Lonchura striata: one gene and its partner. The protein of the gene in region 1 purifies or fractionates together with the protein of each later gene. This does not show direct contact. Links are inferred from orthologs where the notes say so. Each region holds a gene or a part of one and is shown on either strand. Other genes may lie near its edges.

Region 1 (7,008 bases):
ATAAAGGCACGGATGGGGAAAGAGCCTTTCCTGAAGGATGAGGTGGAGGCTGGAGCTGTTTAGAGTGACACTCGACATTAACAGATTGTTTCAGTTGTGTGTTGCCCAGACAGCCTTGAAAATTTACAGCTGGCAATTTCCTCTGAATGCCTCATTCCTTTCACTTCAGGCTCACCAACACCTGCCTTGTCTTTGCCTTATTTCCTCAGCTCTATTTTATTCTCTTCCCTGCTCTTTCCACTTACAAGTCCTACTTTACCGGCCAAGAAATTATGATACCAACATGGTATTTTTCTCTTATTTTTATAGCTCCTCCCTCAGCTTTCCCAGATGCACAACCCCTAATGCTGACACACCACCCAAGAAAGTCATTCTGGTTCTGAAAAACCAAATTGACCACAGCTAAAGAAGATGTTCTGCTAAAGCAAATTTACAGGAAGAGCATCCAAAAACAAATAAAAAGCTTTAAAGAGTAAAGAAAAAAACCTCTTTAGTAAAAAGAGTAAAAGGAAGAGCTCGCTAACTTCAGGGAGAGAGTTAACAAGCATCAGTTGCCTATCCACATTACCTTTATTTTGTGATACTCTCAGATCTTGGTGGCCCATCCCATCACCCCTGAACAGGGATTAGAAAAGCATTAAAAAAAAATATTAACTCCCACAAATTGTAGAGCCCCTGTGAAGAACAAATAGATCCCAAAAGCTCAGTTACTTAATTCTGCCCATATGGTACCCACTCCCTGCTTTGGTTTGTGCTACTGGGTCTCCCTTCACCAATTTTTTTTTTCCAGGCTGAAGAAGCCTAGCTCCCTCAGCCCCTTCTCCACCTTGAAGATGGGCCCTGTTGGACTTGCACAGGGCTTTCCACATCTTTCTTGTAGTGACGGACCAAAGCTCAGGCATGGTGTGCCACATGCAGCTGCTGAGTGACCAGCAGAGAGAAAGAATCACTTCACTTGATGTCCTGGTTCTGCTCCTTTTGATCCAGCCTAGTGTGCAGATAGCTTTTATCACTACCAGGCCACACTGCTGACCTGAAACCCAAGCAAATTTTTCTATTGATTCCAGCAAGGCTGAAATACCAGACTGAACAGCTAATAAAGGAGACATCAAACATGGAACAGTGGCAACAAAACAGCAAGCACAAGCTTACAACAGCTCCTGATAGCATGTGTGGGAGAAAAGCTGTGATCAGATACACCCATCCTGCTAAAACAGCTGCTTTTTACTGCCTGCCCTGAGTTCCTGAAGCAGCCTTCACCTGGCTCCTTACAGAAGGAAGGTGGGAAGAGTTCAGTTTTCCCAGAGCACAGCTTGCAGGAAGATAGGAAAGCTATTTCTAAAAAAAATTTAATGTGTTATTTGAGATAACAGTGATGAGGCAAAAACTCTCCCCTACTCAAGCACAGGATTTAGCAAACAAACTGGCAGAGCCAACCCCCACTGTGTTTGTTACTCCTGCAATTTATTAAAACCACATTGCAATCTGGGCATTACCAACACCTGATGAAATTGTGAAACTGCATCCACTCTCAAAATAGTTAACATTCATTTAACAAACTGATTTAATGATTTAAACAATTGCTTCTAACATGCATATACACACTAAGAAAATAGAAGTGAACCTTCTGCACAAGCAGAAGGAGTTAAAAGAATCTGACTTTTTGGTCTCTTACATCAGTTTGTTTTGAACACCAGAGCTAGCTAAAACATCAAAACACACATAGGGACTGTTTATTCTAAGTGCTAGAGTTACAGCCCTGCTTTTAACCCAGCAACAGCTCGCTATGCCATCCATTCTACTGGAACCACGTTCAAATGCAATCCCAGTAGCTTCAGTGCTACCTTCGATTACAGTCACTCTGCTAAGGCCAAGCCCCCAGAGCAACAAACAAGCTGAAATAAACAAAGCACTGTTACCACTCTGACACAGATGTTAACAGGATGCAGTTCCTTTTAGGCATAATAAAAAAATTCCAGCTCTTCAAGCCTTAAATTCTGCAGTTTTTCCAAGAAACTTAACTGAGGAATTAAGTGCAGCAATACATCACATTAAGGCAGTATTACATCACACAGGATCTTTTTTGGCACCACACCACCTTGCATCCTCTGAGATTCTGCCCAAAACACAATTGTGCATTTGAGTACAAGACTTCCCCAGCTTTCCCAGAAATGCAGTAAAAAAAAAAAAAAAAAAAAAAAAATCACATAACACACACCCACAAAATGAAGATTGAGGAACTGGAATCCCCACAGCACTTCTAGAACTGGTCAGGCAATCAGAACACTGTAAATATGTGCAATTGTATTTGTTTATATGGTTTTCATCGCACTGGCAATCTTTTGGGGATGACTACAGATGCCTAACTTTAAACTGATACATTTCACAGAAGGTATGGATTAAAAAAAATCCTATGGGAAAAAATAGTTTTGAGCCTGATCCAGCAGCTACATGGTGGAGCACACACTATCTGTGAAGTCAGAAAGCCAACAAAGGCTTCAAAAATATAGTTAAGTGTCCTTCTTATGACTTACTAGCAACAGCACAGCATCTTCCTGCTAGATACAAACTTCACACCAGATGTAACTTAGACACTATGCCTGAGCAGTCTACACACCACATAACATTTTTTTTTTGTGTGTGTTTTAAAACTGTGCAAAAGTGCTTAGCATCCCTTCCATACTCCTAGCCATAGCACAGGCAAACAACGCCTCAGCAAATCTATACAGAGTTTCCTTTGGAAATCATCCAGAGGGCATTCCACAAATCAAAAGTATCACTCCTATAACAAGCTTCACAGACCAGTGTAATGCCATCCCAAAAACAAAGTAACTGCTTGAAGAGATAGAAAATAAAGTTTGTTTCGAGAAGGGAAATTAAATACTTCCTAATAGTAGCCTCCTCACAGAAGTGAGTAATAAGCTTCTATAGCTAAGGGTTTTTCAAATGAGGGTTAAAACTGAAAAATGCATCTGTAGGCACAGAGTACATTCACTGGTAGGAGCTTTTCCATGTGGAAGTTGGCAAGCACGTCCTCTACTCCTTCAGGCAGCAATGAGATGAGCAACCACAGCATGCCAAGCTTGTGCCGCCACAGAAAATCTCCGAATCACCCCTGTTCACGTTTGGTTTCCTACTACACCTCACACAGCTCGATATTTCGCTAAGTCTAAAGCCAGCCTTGCCTGAAGCACAATTTGGAGGGCAGCTGCAGGAAGCTGGACATGCCATGGACAGAGGCACCGTAAAGGAGGGGACACACACCGCCCTCGCACTCTGCACAGGCTCTGGTGGAGAGCATAGGACTGCTGGGGTAGGGGACAGCAAGCACCCACCGAGGGCTGGTGCCCCTGCTGCTCACAGGGCCCACTCTACAGCTGAGATATTCTGCTGCACTCCACTCCCTCCCAGAGAGAGGGAGGGACCTGTAGGGTAATGCCCGCCATTCCACACAGCCCCCACACGGAGGGTGCCCCATCTCCCTCGGAAGCGGCGCCTCAGCGCGAACGGGATGGTGCTCGACCCCCTTCCGCTCCCGCCATTGCGCCTCATGCACGCGCCCGGGGGCGCCCAACGGCCGCGCCGCTCCCGCCCCCTCCCGCCGCAGCCCCGAAAGCCGCGCTCAGGCGCGCGCGTCATGCCGCCACCGCCGCCGGCCAATGAGAGCGCGGCCAGGCCTGCGCCCGCGCTTTGCGAGCACGGAGGCAGGGCGCCCCTGAGTGACAGCGCGGCTCGGCCTATCGGGGAGCGGCATTCCCCCCCTTAGCGCTCAAAGCGCTGCTGGAGAGGGGGCGGGTCCCCTCTACTCCCCTCCCCGCCGCCCCCCCGCCCCTCGCCCCCTCCGCCGCCCCTCGCCCCCCCGCCCATCCGAGCCGCGCAGCGGATTGACAGCCCGTCTGACCAATCACCGTGGCGGCCGCCTTCGCGGCGGCACATCCCGGAGCCAATGGGAGCGGCGGCTGGGCGGGGCCCCCGAGGTTTCCAAACGCTCCGCGGCGCCATGGGCTGAAAACTAAACCGAGATGGAATCTCCCAGTCTGAACCGGTTTGAGCCGGTTCCGTGCCTGTGGCATTAGGAGGGGGAGACGCGCCGCGCTCAGTCCCCGTCGCCGCCGCCGCGTGTGTGACCTGCTCGTAGGGGACCTGTAGCTGAGGGGGCGAAGTTTAGTGCGAGCCGCGGGGGGGGGGTGGCGGGAATGGGGGCGAACTGAGCGCCGGGCGGGGAGGGCGGCAGCCGCAGGGGCAGCGAGAGCCGGCGGGGCCGGGCCTGGGCGGCGCGGGAGGCGCAGCCGGGTAGAGATCCCCCCACAACAGCGAGGTCGGAGCGCCGCGCCGGCCGCTTTCCCGGGGCTGTGGGGAAGGCGCGGAGCCGAGCGCGGAGCCCCGGGGGCAGCTGCGGGCGCCTGGTGCAGCCAGGCCGGGCACGCTGCGAGGGGAGGAGTGGCGCCACTAACCCCGACCCACCACCGAGGAGGGAGCGCTCGCCTTCCCCCCCACCTCTTGCCGTGGTGGTTTTTTCCCTCCTTCCGCGCTGTTTTTTTTTTTTTTTCCCTCCTTCCGTGGTCTTTTTATTTTTTCTTCTTCATTTTGGGAAGGGATTATTTTTGGTGGTCTTTTTTTATTTTTTTTTTTTTTCTTGTGGTGTGTGGTGGTTAGAAACTTGGCTCGCTCGCCCCTACTTTCTGAAGGAAGAGGCTGTGAGAAACCCCTAGGTAAGCGAGGGTTGTGGGGGTGTCGCGATGGGCAACGCGGAGGGGGCAAAGGGGGGTATTTTGAGGGGCAGAACGGGGGGATGTGCCCGTGCAGGGGGCCCCAGTGCCTGGCCTATGCTAGGAGAGATGTGATGGACCCCGTGGAGAAGCCCTGAGGGGCGGGGGTGCGCTCGGATGGGGTTTGGGGTACGAGCATCCCCGGCCTGGCCGAGCGCAGCCACGGATGCTGCGGGGGATGCTCCTCGTTAGGAGGGGCCCGGGCAGGCTGGGATCGGGTACGGGCAAACCCGGCGACATAATCTGTAAATTATTAGGAGTGGAAGTTTCCAGAAATATTTTTTGTGTGTATGTTCTGTGCAGCAGTATTGAAACGTCCGCCTGGATCACGTGGGGAGCCCTGTATAGCGCGCAGGGCTGGAGCTCAGGGGAGAAGGGGGAGGAGGGAGGGGGAGGCTGCGGGGCCACCGCGCTCCGCAGGGCCCCGGCCCGCCCGACCCAGCCCCGGGCCCTTTCCCCGCCGGGAGCCGGTGCCCCGCCGGCCGGAGCCGGGAGCGGCTACCCGAGAGCTGGGCGCTGCCCGCCCAGGGGCGCTGCGGCAGGAGCCGGGGAAGGCCGCGGCGCTGGGTGGTTATTTCCAGCCGAAAATGAACGCTCCGAGGTGTCGGTCAGATGTTGCTTAATCCGTCTCGTCCTTCTTCACGTGTGTGTGTGTGAAGGAGCAAAGGGAAGGGGCGGTTTCGTTGCCATTGCTGGTGTGTGGAGCGTGATGCGAACGCGTTTGTCGTGCGCTGCGTTTCATAGCCACTCACCCCTCCTGGGTGGGCTTTACAAGTGGTGCAGCTAATTCCTTGGAAGAGGGAGGAAATTCACTTGCATTGCGTGCTTGGAAATGGGGCATAGTGACTCTCCCAGGGTGGGTTTGCTTTTTTTTTTTTTTTTAGTCTGCCCTCAGTGAGCTTTAAATATCTGGGTTAAAGGGTGCTGCTGTAGGATTCATGGTAAATGCTCAACATTTCTCACTATTAAGTGCCTGCTGTTATTCCTGTGTGCTACGGGCCAAAATGAATCGGGTGTACCACAACAAGCTAACTGTTGTGTTAAAGGTCCAGGGTCATCGAGAGTTGGGATAACTGTGTAAACAGTGCTGTTAATGCAGTTCTTTTGACCTTCGGTAGATGTCACATTCTTGCTGTGTTGTAGTCGAAATTTTTTTTTTTTGGTTTGGTTTTTGCTTTTTGGTTTTTTTTTTAACTTTTTCTCTTCTGCTTCTGTTTGCTCATTTATTGAAGGACTGATCACTGGTGGTTCTTAGAGATGAGGCTTAAATGTGTTCCGGAGTTCAGCATGATGGGGGAGGGAAAAGTGTAGGAGTATAGTAAATCAGAGATTATAAGCTTCATGTGGGTAAAGGGTTAGGACTGGGAGATCGAGTTGGCTGCAGGTGGTGGTGGCCACAAAGCCGCCATTTCTGTGTTTCGGCTGGCGAAGTAGGTAGGTCATATTGAAGATAATGCTGGGAGTGGCGAAGGGCCCTATTCAAAACATTTCCTTTCTGCTTCCATGTGTTGAATAACTTCTCTCGGTCACGCTGCTCCTCCTTGGCGCTCTCGGGGTGGCCTGAAAACCGCCGAAAGAGGCTCAAGTCTGAAATGAATGGCCCTACCTGAGGAGCGACTGGTGCACGACATTTATTGTAGTTCGGAAACCGCTATCCCGGCTCAGCCATGGAGGCCAGGTGTGGACAAAAAGGGGCGTGCCTGGGAGCATTAACTGCTCTGAGCCTCTTCATGGGTGCAGTTTCCTTCTAGTGGTGCTGCTCACTGGCTCTCATTTGCCAGGTGACATTTTCAGTCCTCCTGAGCCAAAAGAGTGGAATGAAGAATGAAGTCAGCCTTTTCTGCTGCTATGTTTTTCGCTTCCCAAGTTAACATAGCAATTTTGAAAACATTAGGAGTTGAAGGAGGGAGGAATAGACATGGAGTGTTAATTTTAACTTATTTTGTTCCCTAATCGATATTTGTTTTCTCCTGGTTTTGTGGGAACATGGAAGAAGACTTGATTGGATGTTGAGATGAAGCTCTTGAAATGGTTGTGTTAGTGTAGTAATACTGAGTTTTCTAGTTGAAAATACAATTAGAATATTTGGGTTCAAAGCTATCCTTATATATAGAAGTAACAGAAATTCCTTGACACTACTTGCAAATGCACATTTCCAAACAAAAGATTTTCCTTGTCTGTATGGTACAGTAAAACTTTCACTTAATTAGTAATTACTAGGGTTGAGGCACAGGTTTGT
Region 2 (7,153 bases), on another chromosome or scaffold:
CAACACTGTCCTTTGTTCAAGCCTAGAAAGCACTTTTCAAAGCCTGATGCTTACATGAAAAACGCTTTTTTTTCCCCCTTGGCAGCGAAAAATGAAGCTGACCGTCAAGCTGAGAAGCGCGAGATCAAGCGCCGGCTGACCAGAAAGGTACTGCTGGCTCCCACGGTGACAGCCACCTGGCAGGGCTGCTGGGCATGGTGGCAGCAAGCACGTTGTAGGTACCGTGCTGTGGGCGAAGTCACAGGGCTCTTGTGTAAGTGTCCCCAGTGCCCTCGGACTGCAGTGACTTTGGAATGTGGACTGTCACCCACCGTGAACCATTGGCACCGGGGCCGTGTTTTTGTCAGTGACGGATCTGACCTGGCAGCGAGTGTAACAAGCAAGATGAGAACTAAATTTGGTACCTGATACTTTTAAGGTTTGCTGGCCTGGCTGCTTTAACACGGTGTTTCAGCAGCCACCACTTGACACCAGGCTCCCTAAAATCCATTTCTAAAGGAACTGCAATGTGGGAGCTGAGCAGAGTAGCAGCTGCTTTTAGCTGTTACATCCAGGTTACTTGTGATTGTTGCTCATGGCTGGGAAAAGCTTCCCCAAGGCCTGTGGGTGTGAAGTGTGAGTGCTGCCATTGCTGAAGCTGTGTTTAGGGGCGTCATGCAGGGCTCACCTTTGTAGCAGCTGTTCCCACACTCCTCAGTGTCTTTCTTCATGACAGTGTGGCCCAGGTTCTGCCCTAGCCTGGTTTTGTGATCCTGGTGAAAGTATCCAGTCTGTAAGAGGTTTACCTATCCCCTTGCAGGCTGCACACAGGATCTGGTAGTGTCCGTGCTTAAGGCACAGTGAGGGAACCAGTTCTAGTTTTGCTTGGGGTGCTTAGTCCTGGACCTGCTTTGTGGACAAGGCTCAGACTAACCTCCTTTGTTTTTCCTGGTGTTCAGCTTAGCCAAAGGCCTACAGTGGCAGAGCTGCAGGCTAGGAAGATCCTGAGGTTTAATGAATATGTGGAAGTAACAGATGCCCAGGACTATGACCGGCGAGCAGATAAGCCATGGACAAAGCTGACACCAGCTGACAAGGTAACTGAGTGTCCTGTCCCCACATGGGAAAAGGAGCCAGACCAGGGTGACCCACACAAACGGGTGTGAGCCAAGGAGATTTGCTCTGTTCCTCTGGCTTCACCTCCTCATCTTTCCCTCTGCCACCCCATGTGTGTGCTTTCACTTGCATGTGCTGTCCCAGGTCTGCTTCCTGCTGCCTCATGGCAAGGTGGGAGCCCTGGTGGGCACAGTCTGAAAGGCTTCTGCCTCAGCTTCTGAGTGATGTAAGAATCATAATATCATGGAATCGTTAAGGTTGGAAAAGCCTTTGAAGATGATGGAGTCCAGCTGTTTACCCAGCACCATCATGTTCAGCAGTAAATCATGTTCCCAGGTGCCCCATCTGCACATTTTTGAACAGTTCCTGGGATGGTGATTCTACTACAGCCCTTTCTATGAAGACATTTTTCCTTGTATCTCATCTAAACTTCCTCTGGCTCAACCTGAGACAGTTTCCCTTTGTTCTGTCACTTGTTACCTGGGAGAAGTGACCAACCTCAGCTGTCTTGACCCTCCTGTTAGGGAGTTGTAGAGAGTGAGAAGATCCTCCCTGCACCTTCTTTTCTGCGGGCTCAGGCCCCCACCTCACCCAGCTGCTCTTGGTGCTTCGGACCCTTCCCCAGTCCCATTCTCTTTTCTCAACACAGCAGGGGTACTGAGTATTGGTCATAGCAGTGCAGCTCCCTGCAGGCTCAAACTGGCGGGGAACATCTGTCCTTGTTCTCCCAGGCCACCTTTGGGGACTGCCCAGACTCGTCGGGGAGGGGCAGATTAAATTCAGCTTGGTCTTAATGGACTGTGAAAGCTGGGGTGGCTGCTGGAATCTGAGCCCTTTCCTTTCCAAAAAAATCTCCCTCTCTGTGCAGGCAGCCATCAGGAAGGAGCTGAATGAGTTTAAGAGCTGTGAAATGGAAGTGCATGAGGAGAGCAAGCAGTTCACGAGGTGAGAATGTATTAATATAAAAAGTTTTGGTCTTGTTAGACCTGTCAGAGCTGTGCTGCAAGGACAGTGCTCAGTGGCAAAACACTACAACCTTAGAAAAATTATTTGTGCAGCAGTTGGAGATTGAATGTCCCTTTCTGTCCCTGTCCTGGGGGGTGACTGGAGTAGCAGCAGACACAAAGTGGGTTGTTTTTACTTAAACTGGGGCTTCCATCCTGATGGCTCAGTGACCAGTGTCTAGATTGAGGTGTATCTGAAACTAGTGTGAAGCTGCAGATGGAGTGAGCTTTTCTGGGGCTAGAGATGTGCAGCCACAGCCACAAAACAACTTGCTAATGAGTTACCTTGGGTGTAATCTGTGTAGTCAGGTCTGGATCATAGCCTAAATGATTCCTTTCCTTCCAGCTCTGTGTGGCAAAGTTGAGTGCAGAGCACAGGAGGTGAAATTATTTGATGTTCACAGCTTTCCTGAGGGCTGAGAGTTCTGAGATAATTCAATACACTCTCTTTGGCCATCTACAGTGCCCAAGTAACCATTTAACCTGAGTTCCAAAGATAACACTCAGATTTTTTCCTTGCTTTCAGGTACCATCGACCATAATATTCCAAGGAGGGAGCAAGAAACCTGGGAGGGCTGGAAGAGTTCTCTGCATCCCCCTCTGAGGCAATACAGTGAGGGTGGAACCTCAGCTCTTCCAAGATTTGCCTTCCAAACATATCCAGAAAAGGGCTTCTGGCCAGGGAAGGGGAATCCTGTCTGAATGTAGCATTTCACTGGAGCAAACACATCTCTCATGCCATCAGGCTGGAACTGACACTATACCTCACGTGGCTCAGCAATATGACTCTGCCAGGAGACCGTGTCCAGGGGAAGGACCCCTTCCTTCCCAAGCTGTACAGACTTGTCTTGGGGAGAGCAATTCCTCATTTCCTCCTCCTTTCTGTGAGGAAGGGAGATTAAAAACAAAGGCAGCTCTAAGGTTGGGAAGCTGAGGAGAGCATGTGCTCAGAAGCATGTATGTGTATATTAGCTGTGTACAGAGAACCCTGGCAGACGGCTGACATGGCACTCGGTGGTTTTTGTGAGGTTTTCTTTTCTGTCAAGTCGTTAATGCCCTGAATCACTACTGACCAACGGTTTGTTGTCCTGGAAGGGAATTGTATAGATATTAACATATGCTGCATCTTTTTGTTAAAAAAAAAGAAAAAAACCCAACATATGTGTAAATGCTCTGCACTCTCACACTTGCTCTGATCTTAATAACAGATCCAGAGATATTTAGGCTTGTTTAACAAATTACAGAACCAGGAACAATGACTGTTGCCTTTTTAAAACTTTTTAATTAGGAGAAACTGTGAGAGTAGTCAGTCCTTTTTATTGTGGCTTTCTCTCAAATGTTTTTTACTCTCCCAAATCAGGGTTGAAGGTTGCCTTTTTCTCATTTTTACAGCTAAACCTACTGGAAATTTGATCGTTTCACTGTGTGGATCAAAAGGAGGGGAAGAATAGGTTTAAAAAGTGACCTTAAAAAGATGGTATTTCTCTTCTGAGAGAAAAATTCTTCCTCAATGCGGGTTGAAAAAAAAAAAAATCCGGTAGGGCCACTGCTGTATTATGCACAAAACTAAACTATCGGTGAGATGTCACTTGTGCGGGAGGGCGGGAGGGAGAGAAGAACTCTGTCTTGCTCACAGACCAGCGTGGCAACACGCCGGCTATGGCCCAGCAGCCGCTGGGGGCTCTTCCCTCACAGCATCCCCTGTACAGCCGCCATTACATTGTATATCAGTCTCCGCAACAACAGATTTTAATTATTAAATAAAAGTATTTTAGAATTCTTTTTCTTAAACCCTGCTTGTGCAGCCGTGTCTTTTCAGCTGATCTCAGCAGGAGCCTGACCGGGGCTCCTGAGGGGGAGGGGGGCAGGTCCGCCATGGCGGCGCCTCCCCTCAGGCTTTTCGCGCCCTTCCGACTGCGCGTGCGCCAACCGCCCTGCCGGCCGCTGCGCAGGCGCGGCTGGCCCGGCCCTCCGCGGCGCGGCGGCCCCGGCGCCTCTGCCCATACACGGTGTGTCCCCGCCGCTCGCGCCTGACGCGCCTGCGCGGGTTTCGGCCCCGCCCCCGCGCGCTATAAAAAACGCCGCGCGGCGAGGCTCGGCCTTTTTCACCGTGGGGAGCGGCGGAGCTGACAGGTGAGGTGCCATTTAGTTTTACCCTTTTTGCCGTTTTTACCCTTTAAATCCCTTTTCTTGCTGTGGTGTGAGGTCCTGCGCTGTCAGCGGATGCCCGCTCCATCCTGGTTTTAACGCTAAACTACGCCGTGAGTTACACGTGGCTGCGGGTGCTGCGGCGCTACCTCAGCCGCCCCTCACAGCCATTTTCTTTTCCCACAGGTTCCAAAGTCTCTTCAAGCTTGGTTTGTGCGGCCCGCTGCAGCGTGAGTATCCATGCTTGCCGTGGCCTGGGACGCGCGGGGGCCTGGGGGGATCAGGATGGTTATAAAAGTTAAAAGTAAAGGTCCAACGTGGATATCCGGAGAAGTCGCTCTCTCTCGGCTCTGTCCGTGTGGCGCACGGGAGCGCAGGCCCTCGGGCCCGTGACGTACAGTCCCTTTCCACGACGTTGGAGAGCAAGCCGGGCCCCGAGCCTGCAGCCTGCATATTCCTACTTCTTCTCTGAGCCCTTGGGCCGTTACAGAGGAGACAAACCATGCAGGAAACACTTCTTAAAAATCGGTTAGAAACTGTTGATAATACACTGACACGCGGGGTGGGACGGTGAACACATGCGGAGCTGGGAGGGAGAAACAGAAAAACACAAGCACCTGAGAAATTCTTAAAGTACCTTTTTTTTCATTATTTCCAGTGCCAATATCGGAAAAGTTGGAGTAAAACACGATTTTTGAAGGTAATTGCGTTTAAAATGTAATATTGTGTGTAGTTGCAAAGATGTTTCTAAAAAAATGGGACAGTAATAAAATCCCAATCCGGTAGTAATGTCAGTTCAGATCGCAGGCTTCTAGCTTCGATGATGGTGTTCGATTTTGGATGGATGGGGAAAAGAAACTCCTGAGTCTCGAAGGGGGAAAAAAAAAAAAAGCCATCATGAATCTTGGCAAACAGGAAAAAAAATGGCTAGAGATAAACTTGTGTACTAAACTTAAAACACAATTGCTGTATTGTGGGACACGAGGAACAGGCAGGAAAAAAACGCTCTATTTTTCCTAGAATATTGCAGAAACTGCTGGGGTGAAGTAACAAGGAAAAATCCGTGGAAGAGGGGTGAGTATATTAAAGAGTGCCCAAATTAGGTAGTTGCCCGAGTACTGTTAGTGCACTACGTGTGACTAAAACGTAGCCACAGAAATCAAAACGTGGTGGAACCAAGGATGTATAAATCCAGTGGTTTTATAAAACACGTCCTTGGAGCGCAGTTCCTGGATTTTGTGGATCAGGGCCTGGAGGTGCACGCGGTATGGGTAAGCTGCACGGGAAGGAGGGACAATTCCCGGCGTGAGGGGTTGGCTGGTCCAGCAAAGAGCTGCTTTTGGGATGCTTAAAACTGGGGAAGGGGAGTGGGGGGGATCGTAAGGGTTAAGGAGATACCGCGTGTGCTCTCCTGCGGCTGCACTTGCCAACCTTGCTGATTCCGACGTATATAGGATGTGAGTGGAAGCAGTTTGTGTGTTCAGGCCCTGAAATACAGCTCTCTCTCTATTTGTAAATCTGTACCTGTATACAGTAGACAAAACAATAAACTGAATTTAGCTTTGGCTTGCTGTGTGTTTTTGGTGAATGATCTGAATATTAATGAAAACTTAATGCTCGGCGTGGTGCCTCTTGCGTGGAAATACAATTCTTGTTTGGTGCTGACCAATCTCAAAGTAAATGATGCAGAAATGCTCTGTGGCACTCTTGGGGCTGGACTGGGAAGCAGATTCGTAATTTAAATCCGGATTTGGATTATCTCAGGGAAGAAAACGCTTCATATTAAGGGCTGAGTCAAGAAGGGGTTGATGGCGTCTGTTACCCCGGGGTGTAGCTTGTGGGGGGAAGCCGGGCAGGGCATTACAGGGTTTCCCCTTCCCTTGGAAAGGGGAGTGGGGTGGGTTTGGGGGAAGTGCTGGTGTGGGGTGGGTGGAATGGGCATCAGCAGTTGGCCAGACGTCCTGTCCTTGGCTGCGCAGTCCCCCGGGAAAGGATCAGGGGGTGGCTGTGTATCTGTTCATCAAAGCTCCACATGGGCCTGGAATAAATAAATCGATGGTGATGCCTCGAAGCTTTTCCGGTCATGGGTTGTGGGTGACCCCTGGAATCACTGTCGATAAGCAGATGAGGCTGCTGTACCAGCCAAGATGTTAATTAGAAACATCATTTTATTAGTAAAAGCTGTTACGGCCAAATGCAGGCCTCTGGACTGGAACAGCAGAATTAGTGGAATAAGGGTAATCACATTGGATGAAGGGAAAATTTGAAAGTTCCCTGTCTTCCTGTTAGCCTGAGAAGTTTGGTCTAGTTCCTGTTCCAAGAGTAAAAGTGTATTTTCCACTTAATGCAGCAGTAGGTTGCTGGAAAATATGGTAGCTCGGACTTGCTGGATTTCAGTACTCTCTTACCGTTGTTCTGCGCGTGTAATTACTGAGTTTTTTTGCAGCAGCTCTGTTCCATCACAGCTGGCTGCAGCCTCGGAGGCTGGCAGCATCTCTGTAGGTTAGGAGCAGGATGAGTTACAGATTTATTGTCTGGGGGCTAACGTATTGCCGACCGCGAGCCTTGCCTTGTGCTGCCTGTCCCTCTGTCTTTCTGTCCCCTCGTCCTGTACTGCCTGTCCTCATCCCATCCCCCTGTCTCGTCCGTATTTCTGTCCTCCCATTCCATCCTGTCCTATCCAGCTGTCCTCTTGTCCTCATCCCACGCTCCTGTCCCTCTGTCCTGTCCCCCTGTCCCGATCCCACGCTCCTGTCCCTCTGTCCTGTCCCCCTGTCCCCGTCCCGTCCGTCCCGTCCCGCCGCCTGCGGGCGGCGCGGGGGCCGCCGGCCGCCAGGGGGCGCGGCGCGGCGCGGGCGCGGCGCGCAGGCGCAGAGCGGAGCGCGGCGGCCCGGCGGACGGTGAGG

What was found.
Region 2: the proteins of XPO1 (region 1) and RCC1 purify together in Homo sapiens (affinity purification with mass spectrometry; 3 studies listed by BioGRID and IntAct, with this or other methods). This does not show direct contact. The link is inferred for Lonchura striata from reciprocal best matches to the Homo sapiens genes XPO1 and RCC1.

What each region holds. Positions count from the first base shown.
Region 1 is NC_134605.1:25,060,025-25,067,032, forward strand, and holds the start of XPO1 (exportin-1), read left to right. Parts: upstream 1-3,995; 5' UTR 3,996-4,119; exon of another isoform or gene 4,120-4,134; intron 4,135-4,330; exon of another isoform or gene 4,331-4,656; 5' UTR 4,657-4,712; intron 4,713-5,254; exon of another isoform or gene 5,255-5,370; intron 5,371-7,008. UniProt on the Homo sapiens protein: Mediates the nuclear export of cellular proteins (cargos) bearing a leucine-rich nuclear export signal (NES) and of RNAs.
Region 2 is NC_134628.1:104,640-111,792, reverse strand, and holds the start of RCC1 (regulator of chromosome condensation), read left to right. Parts: upstream 1-4,143; 5' UTR 4,144-4,232; intron 4,233-4,433; 5' UTR 4,434-4,477; intron 4,478-4,559; exon of another isoform or gene 4,560-4,764; intron 4,765-4,905; 5' UTR 4,906-4,947; intron 4,948-7,126; exon of another isoform or gene 7,127-7,147; intron 7,148-7,153. Other genes in the region: PHACTR4 (phosphatase and actin regulator 4), read left to right, coding at 86-147, 939-1,076, 1,964-2,040, 2,626-2,641. UniProt on the Homo sapiens protein: Guanine-nucleotide releasing factor that promotes the exchange of Ran-bound GDP by GTP, and thereby plays an important role in RAN-mediated functions in nuclear import and mitosis.